Linked DNA regions of Arabidopsis thaliana. The protein of the gene in region 2 interacts with the protein of the main gene of each other region in a pairwise test. Each region holds a gene or a part of one and is shown on either strand. Other genes may lie near its edges.

Region 1 (5,174 bases), on a different chromosome or scaffold from region 2:
TAATGTAGCACTTAGCAGGATGTTCTCAGTGAAGAATAGAAAGGGGAAACTTCGGAAAGCCTGGGATGGAAGTAAGGTTGCTTACAACGTAGCGTCATGGAGCGCAACTGTTATAGGGTATAATATCATCTAGTCATCTTCTACATTGCAAAATCTAATAGTCCCATTGTTTATCGTTCTCACCAAGCATTTTTATTTTGTTCATTTCACCGACAGGATCTATCAAAACCCCGTGATCCTGAGGGTTGCATCAAAGGCCTTTTGGGCGTCATGTCATGTAATATCGAAGCTCGTTTGATTGACGATGACGCCTTCTCGAACACATCTCGCCTGTGTACTGTGATAACAGTTTAATTTGGGTTTCTCCATGATCTCTGTGAATACAACTTCATCATGTATAAAGAATGCCATATGTAATTCCGTTCTTTACTGCAATATTCTTTCTGCATCATCGTTTATATCCATTAAATGAGTAAATGCATGCTAGAATCACGTATTTTAGTAGACTACAGTTGTTATTCCAGGTTGATCTCACACTTGCACAATAAAACATAGTTAAAAGTTTAATACAGTTCATTAAATTGTTTATCAAAGAATACAAGTTTGGTATCAAACATATACAGAGTAAAACGCATAGATATATATGATATCTCACAAGAACAAAACAGCAACCCAAAAAAAGAAAAGAAAGACAATGCTTGTGGTAAAGTAACCCACCCCGTGTTTGTATCTAGTAAAGCCAAATGAAATCCTTAGTAGTTTGGTTATGGCTGACTTGTGTTTAGCTTCTAATCTTCTGGTCTCACACCCAAATCCTTCTTACCTCATTCATTTTTTTTGGCAGCAGCGACAGAATCACACAAGTCTAGCTTTCTCAAGGTTTCCATGGTGCTGGTGGAGGTGGTGGAGTAGGGAACAAAGGAGGAACAGCTGAGAAAATAGTGTTTTTGTCTATCTTACCGGTGGCTTCTTCTTCACCCGATAATGCCACAAGAGCTGCGACTAGACCAGCATTGCCTGCAAGAGTCGGTTCAGTGTAGTTGTAGTTCATACGGACATCACGGTACCCGTCGCGCTTGTCAGGACCAGCAACCATGGCTCCTTCAATCGTGTTTGGGTTTGGTTTCTTGCTGTCTCTCCATTTCCATCCTCCTTTGCAGTTATACTTGACTTTGTTCTTGGGTATCGAAGCTCCTCTGTGATGCACATGTCTTGGGTATTTTGTGCCAAAACCAACGACATAACTCATTTTCCGAGGGTTTTTACCCAGTATATAATCAATCTGCCAAAATACAGCAAGGCCGAGTTAAATCCAATTTAGATGTCAAAATAAAAAATGGAGTTTAAAAAGATCTTCGTACAATCTTGGTTAAAAGTGTCATTTTTGGATCTTATCCATTACTATATCTGAGATTACCATTTCTGTAAAGAGTAAAGGAAAAGAAGCAATACCTGGGATCTAGCAAAGTCACGTAGCACACTTGTCGAATAGAAATTAGGTCCACAGTACCATCCAGGAGTATCAGCAGCATCCAGATAATCACTGTATAGAGTCGCTAAGAAAGCTGCATTTACAGAATATTGCAGCGGCTGTGGAGCTCCATGATTCAACTCTATTAAACCTCCTGCACATACCAAAGATTTCATTTTAGATATCTGAAACAAGAACAAGCCCCACAGTTGGAGTTTTATTAGAGGCAGACATTAAAGCTGGAAGGTAACTAACCATTGGTTCTGTTAAATTTGTTGAAAATAGGCAAGTATGAGCACATGACTATGCTGGTCTGATTGTGGAAGGTCCTTAGAATTTCTTCATATGGATATCCAGGACTCAGAAACAACCTCAACCGGCTCAACAGCAACTAAAATCGCAAAAGGGATTCAAAAGAGTCAAGAGTAGTATGGTTAAGGCAAATGATCAAGAAGACATGAATATCTAAGAAACATAAACACAGCAGGTTGTTATGTGTGGACTGACCTGAGCACCAGCAAGCTTGTTGTCCCAGCTAAATACACCATAGTAAGGGCCACCCCAGAAGGCACCAGCATGCTTGGCCATAGTAGGTTGGGTGATTAGATTGAGATACGTTACATTTCCGGTAGCATAATACATCCAAGCACCACCCCAAATGAACTCATCCCAATACATACTTGAATTATAGAACTTGCTAGATTCCGCAGTGCCTGCACTATATCTCCCTCTCCTCGTCCTTCCAAACTGATACACCACCTTAGCACCATGGACAAGCTTTTTAGAATATTCCTTGTTATCCTTGAATACAATAGATGCTGAAGCCAGAGCAGCTGCCATCTCTGCAGCGAGATCCGAACATCCACCATTACAAGTAGTCACGGGCCTTTTATAGTCCATATCCTCAGGTCGCATCCAACAGTAATGGTCATTAGGATCTGTATTTCCATCATCAGTATTCCCTGATCCAACCTACATTAAACATGTAACGAGTGAACAAACAACTCAATATGAAAGATCTCCTACGAAGGTCATAAACAAGTACCTGTGACACAAGATCATCAATGGAATCAGCAGTACTATTGAAAGTCTTGAGAAAGTAATCAGTTCCCCATTTGATAAGCTCCTTAACATGAGTGAGCTCACCAGCAGCTTCGTATTTAGCACTATATTCAATAACACTCCAGCTCAACATAGTCATAGCATAAGCCATGGGGAAATTGAACTTGATAGCATCACCAGCATCATAATAACCTCCCACCAAATCTTTATAGAAGCTTCCTGTTTCACCTTTCCCATCTTGAAGCCCAGAATTACCTCTCCATGACACGTTATTATGCTTTGGCAATTTCCCAGCTACAACAATCAAAATCAGACTTAGATCTAAAACTCTATATCTAAATTTTATCAGATCTAAGTAGATTCTACACTTACATTTCTGAGCATTGAAGAACTTAAGAGCTTTGTGTAGAGCTATAGTATAATTATCCGGCGGCGGAGTCTTAGGATGATGACGCGGCACAGTTTTAACGATCAAGGTAATGAATCCGGCGAGTAACGCGGCGGCAACAAGAGTACCAACAGTCCAGACGAAGATCTTGCGGCTAACGATAATACAACCGAGATCGACGTACTTCTTCTTCTTCTGCTCCGTTGGACCAAGTAACCAACTCTGCTGCGTCTCATCTAGTGGACGTGAAAGAGCCGCACGATCCAAATCGTTTAAATTCCGACTACGATCATCGTCGGTGGCGGAATCTGCAGTGTTTATCTCCAATGGACCTCCCCATGGATCTCTTCCGTACATGATGATGCTCTCTGATAAAGCAGCAGAGAACAACAACAATGAATCAAAGGTTTGGGATCAGATCTGGAGAAGAGAAGAGAAGAGAGAAAGAAGTAAAAGTGTGTGGAAGTGAAGAAATGTGAAGCTAAAAAGCTCTCTCTAGTCAATAATGTACAAAGACTCTTTGAGAGATCTGGTTTTGGTTTTTTACTCTTTTTTTTTTTTCCTTTTTAAAACTCACTTCAATTATTTTGTTATTATATGTTTTGTTTGGTTTATTTGTACATGTTACGTTACAGCTAACTCTAATTTTGGAATAGTATATTTTTGGCCAACTATGATTGAGCGTTTTGGCCAACTTGTAATCTTGTGTATTTATTTTTCATACAATTAAAATTTGTCGGAGACATTAAAATATTATTTTTTATGCACCGTTTTTTCTAACAAAAAATTGCATATACTTTGTTTACTAGTAAAGCAATGGGCTAATGTCGGGTGGATGGAAAAAGACATCTCCGCTAATAAACTGTCGGTGGGATGATAATTTTATTTTATCCTTTATGATTATGGTGTTTTACACGTCATCATTTCTGGTGGGCTCTAAGTAATGACATAATTTTTAAAAAAAAATTATAACAAGGAAGGTTACTTAAATTCTACTTCTACTTGAAAATGATAGTCTACCACAAAATTTCACTTACATTTGTTAAAATTTAAAACTTATAAGATAAGTGTGTCCGACAAATTGATGGTAGATCAATGACCTAAAAAAAAATTACATCTTGTGGTCATTTTTACGACTCTAATCCCTCACAGAGTAAGTAAGGAGAATTATGAGAATCTAACTTTTAATTTGAAATTAAATACATTCGTAATTATAGAATCTAATCCCTCATATATATATGAATATATCTCTACTTTAAAAAATTCCGAAAATATATGGGCAGCTATGTAATTATAGGACTTATCAGCTTGCATTTAATTAATATTAAATGTCCAATGTAGAAACACCAACAAGTGTAGAACTAGAAACCATAGATGCTCATACATTTGATTTCTACTTTATACATCGAAAACTGAAAGATAAACATACACATATCAACCATAGCTGTTTCCATAGTACATACTGACAGAGATTACCTAAAATATATGCATCAATTTGTCTTCGAATTTCCTTCCATAATGTTCTTTGGCCTTGAAAGCATCGTTAGAGATCGAAACTGTGGCTGTTGAAGTGGAAAAGAGGATGATTCGCCGATCGCCAGATGCTATGTGACCGTATTTCTTTGGCTACGGTCGTCTGAAGAGTCGCTGGACCGCATACTATCACTCCAACATCCACACTCCCCCATTTCCCATTCAATGACTCAAATATCTCTGCAATTACAAAATAAAAATATTACATGAACCAATCAAAGATTTAACTTAACCGAATCGAGCCAAATATCTACACCAAAAGTCGGATTCAAGAACCGAACGAAACCGTGTCAAACCGTTCCGAATGATTTCAGTTTCTATAATTTTATAAATAAAAAAACGAGATAACTGGACTTGACACCGCTAATTTTGTAGTGTATACCTCTAAAGGCCGGTCTGGTGCCATAACGAATAGTGGTGTAATTCTGGACATCTTCTTCTATTGCCAAGCCCTTAAGCTCTGCTGCAGATGGATTATGGGTTTCTTCTCCATTCAAATCTACCTTGTCGTTGCCATTTGCTTCCACTTCACCGGTTTTGTGTTCCCAGCGATGCCAGAAAACAACCACAAGACCTCCAAAAATCAAGACACTTGCAACCATACAACCAACAAATAGAAGTCCCTTGTACCACCACGTTGTTATGTTGTATCTTTTTATGTAAAAGATGTCCAACAATGTGATCATTGAAATAAATCCAATGGTGGATATAATTAGATAG
Region 2 (6,479 bases):
AGAATTTCACAAAGAGATTGGAAACAAATGGGCAGAGATTGCGAAAAGACTCCCGGGAAGAACAGAGAACTCGATCAAGAACCATTGGAACGCAACAAAAAGAAGACAATTCTCTAAAAGAAAATGTAGATCTAAGTATCCAAGACCTTCTCTGTTGCAGGATTACATCAAGAGCTTGAATATGGGAGCTTTGATGGCTTCTTCTGTTCCTGCAAGAGGTAGACGCAGAGAGAGTAATAACAAGAAGAAGGATGTTGTTGTTGCGGTTGAGGAGAAGAAGAAGGAAGAGGAGGTGTATGGACAAGACAGGATTGTGCCTGAATGTGTGTTTACTGATGATTTTGGATTCAATGAGAAGCTGCTTGAGGAAGGATGTAGCATTGACTCTTTGCTTGATGACATTCCTCAGCCTGACATTGATGCTTTTGTTCATGGACTCTGATTTGTATTTTTTATTCTGCTTGTTTCAGTTTTGTTGTTTTTTGTTTGTCTTTTTATACGAGACAGATTCCACCAAACTTCAATAATTTGAAAAGATATAAAATATTTTGCTTTTTAAAAACATGTTGATGTTGAAACAATAGAAACCTAACTTGCGGAACCCGCCAAGACTTGTTGCTAAAATAAGAACATTACTTAACTTGTGGCTCAAGCAACCATATGAAAATTTATAAAACAACCAAAACACATATGATCAATCTTTCAAAATACAAACATAACGTATCTTCTCTTAGCAATCGATCAAAAGACAGTTCAGAGAAAGGGAAGTCGTATCGGTTTTGGAGACGAAAGGATTGATACGAACCCAAACAAGTGAAAACACAGAAGCAAGCAAGATAGACCAGAGAATAACAATAGTAGGTGTTCTGTTTTGTCTTCCCATAAGACCTTTGAGGAATGGATAAAGATGAAGAATCACCCAAAAGGCGAAAAATACCTTCCCAAACAAAGGTCCCCAAGCTTCATAACCTTTGTTAAGAGCGTCAGAGAATCCAGCAACAACTCCGACCAAGTTGATTATAAGAAGTGACGTCGGAGGGATCAAGAGAGTTGTCCATTTGACAATGTAAAGCTCACCGAATTCTAAATCATCTGCGGTTTTCGATGTGACTGTGAAATTTGTGTCGAGACCAGCGAGCATTTTGAGGAATCCTTGGAAAACGGCAAAGAGATGAGCTGAGACACCTCCAATAACCCAAAACTGTTCGTTTCTCCATAAGTCTTCGATACTGACTCCGCTCCATCGAAGCTCGAGGACACTCGTTAAGATGATTGATATAAAGAGACCTAGAAACAGCATGCTTGCTAGGTTTGATAGCTGCAATAAAGAACAGAAACAAAGATCAAATTCTCAATCTTGCTGTAACCTAACCAAAGTAATTAGTAGTATGAAAAAGTTACCGTTGGGATGATAAATTTGCCGGTAAGAAGGCAAATAGCTGGAAGAGTACAGTAAGCAACAAGAGGCAAAGAAGTGAATGGGTAGACAATAGTGTTTATATAAGCTAATCTCTGGAGCAACTTGAGGCGGCCTCCGCTGCAACCGTACCACAAAGGACAATGTCGGCTAAGGAAGATCTCAACCGAGCCAAGAGCCCAACGTAGAACCTGGTGAAGCCTATCTGATAGATTGATTGGAGCAGATCCTTTAAATGCTGGTCTTAATGGCATACAGTAAATCGACCTCCATCCACGACAATGCATCTTGAAACCCGTCAAAATGTCTTCGGTGATCGACCCGTAAATCCATCCTATCTGCGAAAACAGAACGAAAGGTTATAAAATGTACTCACAAGAGAACTTTGATATGAAGAAACAAGGCACTTACTTCTTTTCCCCATTCAGTTTTCTCTTCGTATCCACAGCTAATGACATGAATAGCTTCTTTGATGAGCGTTGACGGGTTTACAGAGTCGGGAACACCGCCATTCTCCATAAGAGTAGACTCGATGAAAACCGTAGAGAGACCAAACGTTTTCTCAAAGCTTGTTTGTGAAATCAGCATCGATCTGTCGTACTCATCGTAGTTGTCTAGGTCCCCAAGATTAAAGATTGCAGCATCAAGTTCTTCTCGCTTTGCATCTTTGTAAATCTCGGAAGGATCTTGAGGTTGTTTCTTCTTGGTTAGACAGCAACACGACGATGATGAAGATTGCGGTAAAATCCTCGGTTTTGAAGGTGGACTGTATCCGTAAAGTGCTTGTCTTCTAAAGACAGTACCTGTACCAACATAAACTGGACCTTGAATCCCATCAAGCCCTCTCATATTAACCTGAAAACATCATATCAAAACCACAAAATATCATAAGAAATCTCAAAACTTTGCTTGAAGTTATGAGTATGAGATAACTTACATCGAAGAAAACAATGTTGCGGTTAGCATATCGATCACTCTTGTCGATTCCATCAAATCTCTGTGGGAACTGAACAAAGCAAACGTCTTGACCAACAACAGGATCCATTAAAAAGCACATTGCTTCACGCACGGCTTTGCTATTGTTGACGTAGTGATCACAATCAAGGTTAAGAATGAATGGAGCATTCGTTAAAACCGCAGACACCCTCACCTACAAAGAACAAAATCATTAGGATTGTGCTAAATTGAACGATAAAAGAAAAAGTTTTGAAGTTTACCAATGCGTTCTCTGCCCCGGCCTTTTTGTGATGCTGATAACCAGGTCTCTTCTCTCTAGAGACGTAAACTAATCTTGGAAGTTCATTTCCTTCAATGTCGCGAGCACCGCTATATCCAAGAAAAACCTGCAAGAAAGAAATTACGTGACTAACAAGAAAAGACAGAGCATTTCAGGTCAAATGTTTTAGCTAGCAAACCTGAATCATCCCGGGATGGTCACGAGTGTTGTTCCCGGGCCAAGATGTTCCATCTTGCATTGTCCATCCTTCTTCTGGTGTCTTTTGAGCCTTGGCGACTAAAGCATTCATTCTTATTTTAAACTCTTCATAATCTCTCTACAAGAAGAGAAATTAGACATTAAGTTTTCGATTCAATCATCGGTTAACGCTATATGAGATTAATTTAAGGTTTTAAAGCCCTTGCTTACTTACTTTCATGGCTCTACGTTCTTTCACAAAAGAAGGTTGAACTTTATCCCTCAAGTAATCGATTTTAAGCGAGAAGTAAAACTCGGGAGCTCGTGGCTCGATGGAGTACTTTTTGCAGAAAGGTACCCATTTCCTAGCAAAATCTGCTGTCTCAACCAAAGACTCAAACGAAAGCATTGCAGCACCATCATCAGATACATAGCAAGAGACTTTATCCACCGGATAATCAAGCGCGAGGATCGAAAGAACCGTGTTTGCAGTTATCAAAGGTGGCTCCTTTAATGGATCTACCGTACTAACAAAGAAATCTACAGCTGCAAGCTGTGATTGCTCGCCTTCTCTTTCGAATCTGCATAGTTTTGATAAATGGTTTCATAAAACTTAAAGATTGGTAGTAACTGCGCAGATTAAGCATATAACGGTTATAAAACATTTGTAACCTTGCGGATAACCGGTCGATGTAAGTTTCTCGGTTAATAGGAGACCATTTAGGGAACTGATCCAACACCCAAGAAACAGCAAACCAAATCTCACATATCACAGATGTTAGCCATAAACCGTAAGCGCTATCGACAGGATGCGTGATACGGTAGTTAAAAAACAGAGCCAAGATGATCAACCGCATGATGATGACAATCCTATATGAAGTGATTTTTGTCCTTGGGATAGGAATCACAACCGAAAGCACATCTGTAGCACCAGATTCTGTGTTCCTGAGAATACAAACGGCAGAGACCAAATCAACGTCTCAAACTTTTTGGTGAATGTTATTAGATTAGTACGAGGATGTGCTTACGGTGGCGTATCTTCCATGTGCTGTTGGGTAGGAATCTGAGCCTCATGTTGTTCAGCTTTTGTTGCTTTTGGATCTTTCTTCTTCTTCTTGCTCTTCTTGTCTTTCTTGTCTTTCCAGCTCTCCACTCTGTTCTTCCAAATTGGATTGCCATATTCATCATTCAGTTCTTCAGGAAGAAACAACAATCCCCAAGTTAGTTAAACTATTAATAACCTCACCAAATGTATACAAAGATTTTGGCTTTGTTTCTTAGTTCTTACCACTGTCTATTGTTGAGACTGTACTTATATGTCTAGCATGAATCCCTGAATCCTGAAAAAGTCAAGATAATGTTCTCAAATTTGTAAAATCTAATTAAGACATAAAAGCAACTAATCTTAGCTAAGCACACAAACCTGAGAAGTGTTATTGGTCTGTGTTGGAACAATGGATTGAGTTTTAGATGTCTTTGTCTCAACATCATCAAACACATTCTCTATGAAAGCAAAACAAAACAAAACAAGTTATAAATACTCTTTAACCAAAAAATCAAACTTTCGAATAAAGTTTGTAAATTTATAATTGTACCATCGTAAGGATTGCCGCAACGCAAGCAAATTCTTCGACCTTCTTTGAATTCATACTCAAGACAAGCTTTGCAGATCGGGAAACTACACTCATGACAAGCCACAAAGAACTCTCCGTTTGATTTTACACCAATCTCTTCACCACAAGTGTTGCAGATGGGAGACCTAGACTCCATCATCTTCGAATTCCCCTGTTTGGAGAAACAGAGAAATGAACCCTAATTAGGGATTGAGATTTGGATGGATAACAAGTTTGAGAAGCCATGAGAGTGGAGGTTTTGTAATAAGAGGAAAAAAAGTTATTAAAAAAAGTTTGGTGGATTGTGAAAAATCGGAAGTTGAGAAGTTTCTTTCACTGGTTTTCTGAGAAAGCTGATGGGTAAGCTAAATTTGGAGCTTTTTTGAAATGATTTTGCGGGAAAGTGAAGGAAAGTTTTAGTTGAGAGGAGTGACACATGTTCTTTGTCTCTAACCAGCGGCAGATACTAGCTTGCTTGCCTCCTAAGCGTCACCGTACTTTCTATATCAAGCTAACATTGAAGTTGTTATATCCGGTTTATTCGGGTCGGGTTATTCACCATTGAAGTTGTTATAATTTTTAAGTAAATCTTTTCAATCACCAACTTTCTATAAGAAAAATAAGAATTAAAATCACTTTTTTGAATCAAATTAATTTTAGCATTAAAATATTTAAATTTATAGTGTAAACAATTATTTAAGACATAAAATTAAAATTTATAGTTAAAATTATAAGACACATATGTATCTAAAAAAAATATTTAGTTTTTTTTTTATTTAGGTAAATGACAATTTGTGACAAATATTAAAGTCTTAAACCTAAAATTTTAATTGTCTTTGTCAGAAGAGAATTTTCACCGTTTACTACTAAAGAAAACACTCGTCATTTGGTTTAATATCTCTAATCTCTATAACAATTTGAGCTTTAGCTGTACCAAAAATAAATTTTGAGATATAATATCACTTCTCTAATTTTGTTTCTGCTTAATCACTTCTCTGTTCATTAACGTTTTTTGCATAATTCTACTCTACATTTGCAATGTTAGAACAAATCAATCTACACTCTTAACCAATTCAGTCTTTGCATCATCACATCTGAGTTTCCTCTGGTCTACTGTCTCAAATAAAACCGTTGACCAAATACAGCAAAACCATCCATCAAATTCGACCTTCTGATTTTGCTCAGATAAGTTGTAAGGGTTGAAGAATACTAAAGTTATGGGTTTCTACGTCTCTGTGGAAACAACTCTCTCTGACATTTCTAAACTCGACCAGGAAGAAGATTGTGAGCTTCTATAAGAAACAAGATAGATGATGAAACTGATGTATCCAACTACTCCACCAAAAACCAGAAACCCAACAAGAAACCCTTCCACTTCAGCCATGAAGAAATCTAGAAGAAGATACCCATTTATCATCATCACAAACACCGCCACAGTCCAAGCTAGCTTCTGCAAAGATCCCAACTAACTCGTTACAATCAAAAGCACATAACAATAAAGAGAGATGACAAAAAATTGCTTTACCTCAAGCGAAGGTCCGATCTTGAAGACACCCATGATATGTTCATTAGAAACCATAGTCAAAAGAGGAATAACCGCGAAAGGAATCTGCATCGACTGAAGAATGTTAAGCCATTCGTTTAAAACATCGAGCGAGCCCTCGGATGTGTTAAACATAATAGCAACAAACATAGTAGGTACAATAGCAAAGCTTCTCGTTATAAAAGCTGATAGCCATTGTTCCATTTGAAGATCTAAGAACCCTTCCATTATAAACTGTCCAGCATAAGTCCCGGTTATAGTACTGCTTTGTCCAGCAGCTAATAAACCAATCCCCCAAATGTATAGTATCGGGAAAACACCACCGCCATATTTCTCTTGTAGGTAATATCCCGCGTTAACCAGTCCTATACTATCAGCTTGTTTGGTTCCATAAAACCCTTTCGCGAAAACCGCAGTTACAAACAAATTGATCATGAACGAAACAAAAAGCGCGGCTGACGATTCGATTGTATAGTAGTTAAGAGCTTCTTG

Evidence for each region. Proteins that work in one complex are often made in the same cells at the same time.
Region 1: the proteins of IRX1 (region 2) and GH9A1 interact in a two-hybrid assay, tested with the Arabidopsis thaliana proteins (one study listed by BioGRID).

What each region holds. Positions count from the first base shown.
Region 1 is NC_003076.8:20,196,891-20,202,064, forward strand, and holds GH9A1 (glycosyl hydrolase 9A1), read right to left. Parts: upstream 3,579-5,174; 5' UTR 3,279-3,578; coding exon 2,906-3,278; intron 2,828-2,905; coding exon 2,517-2,827; intron 2,444-2,516; coding exon 1,979-2,443; intron 1,863-1,978; coding exon 1,727-1,862; intron 1,626-1,726; coding exon 1,453-1,625; intron 1,283-1,452; coding exon 875-1,282; 3' UTR 501-874; downstream 1-500. Other genes in the region: AT5G49710 (RING finger protein), read left to right, coding at 9-117, 217-298; FRO6 (ferric reduction oxidase 6), read right to left, coding at 4,465-4,634, 4,837-5,174. UniProt on the Arabidopsis thaliana protein: Required for cellulose microfibril formation. Involved in cell wall assembly during cell elongation and cell plate maturation in cytokinesis. Required for secondary cell wall formation in the developing xylem.
Region 2 is NC_003075.7:10,312,116-10,318,594, forward strand, and holds IRX1 (cellulose synthase family protein), read right to left. Parts: upstream 4,772-6,479; 5' UTR 4,605-4,771; coding exon 4,427-4,604; intron 4,335-4,426; coding exon 4,255-4,334; intron 4,172-4,254; coding exon 4,120-4,171; intron 4,026-4,119; coding exon 3,860-4,025; intron 3,777-3,859; coding exon 3,504-3,776; intron 3,413-3,503; coding exon 3,067-3,412; intron 2,971-3,066; coding exon 2,833-2,970; intron 2,761-2,832; coding exon 2,635-2,760; intron 2,568-2,634; coding exon 2,355-2,567; intron 2,273-2,354; coding exon 1,829-2,272; intron 1,756-1,828; coding exon 1,402-1,755; intron 1,319-1,401; coding exon 731-1,318; 3' UTR 509-730; downstream 1-508. Other genes in the region: MYB98 (myb domain protein 98), read left to right, coding at 1-442; NRAMP5 (NRAMP metal ion transporter family protein), read right to left, coding at 5,670-5,894, 5,970-6,479.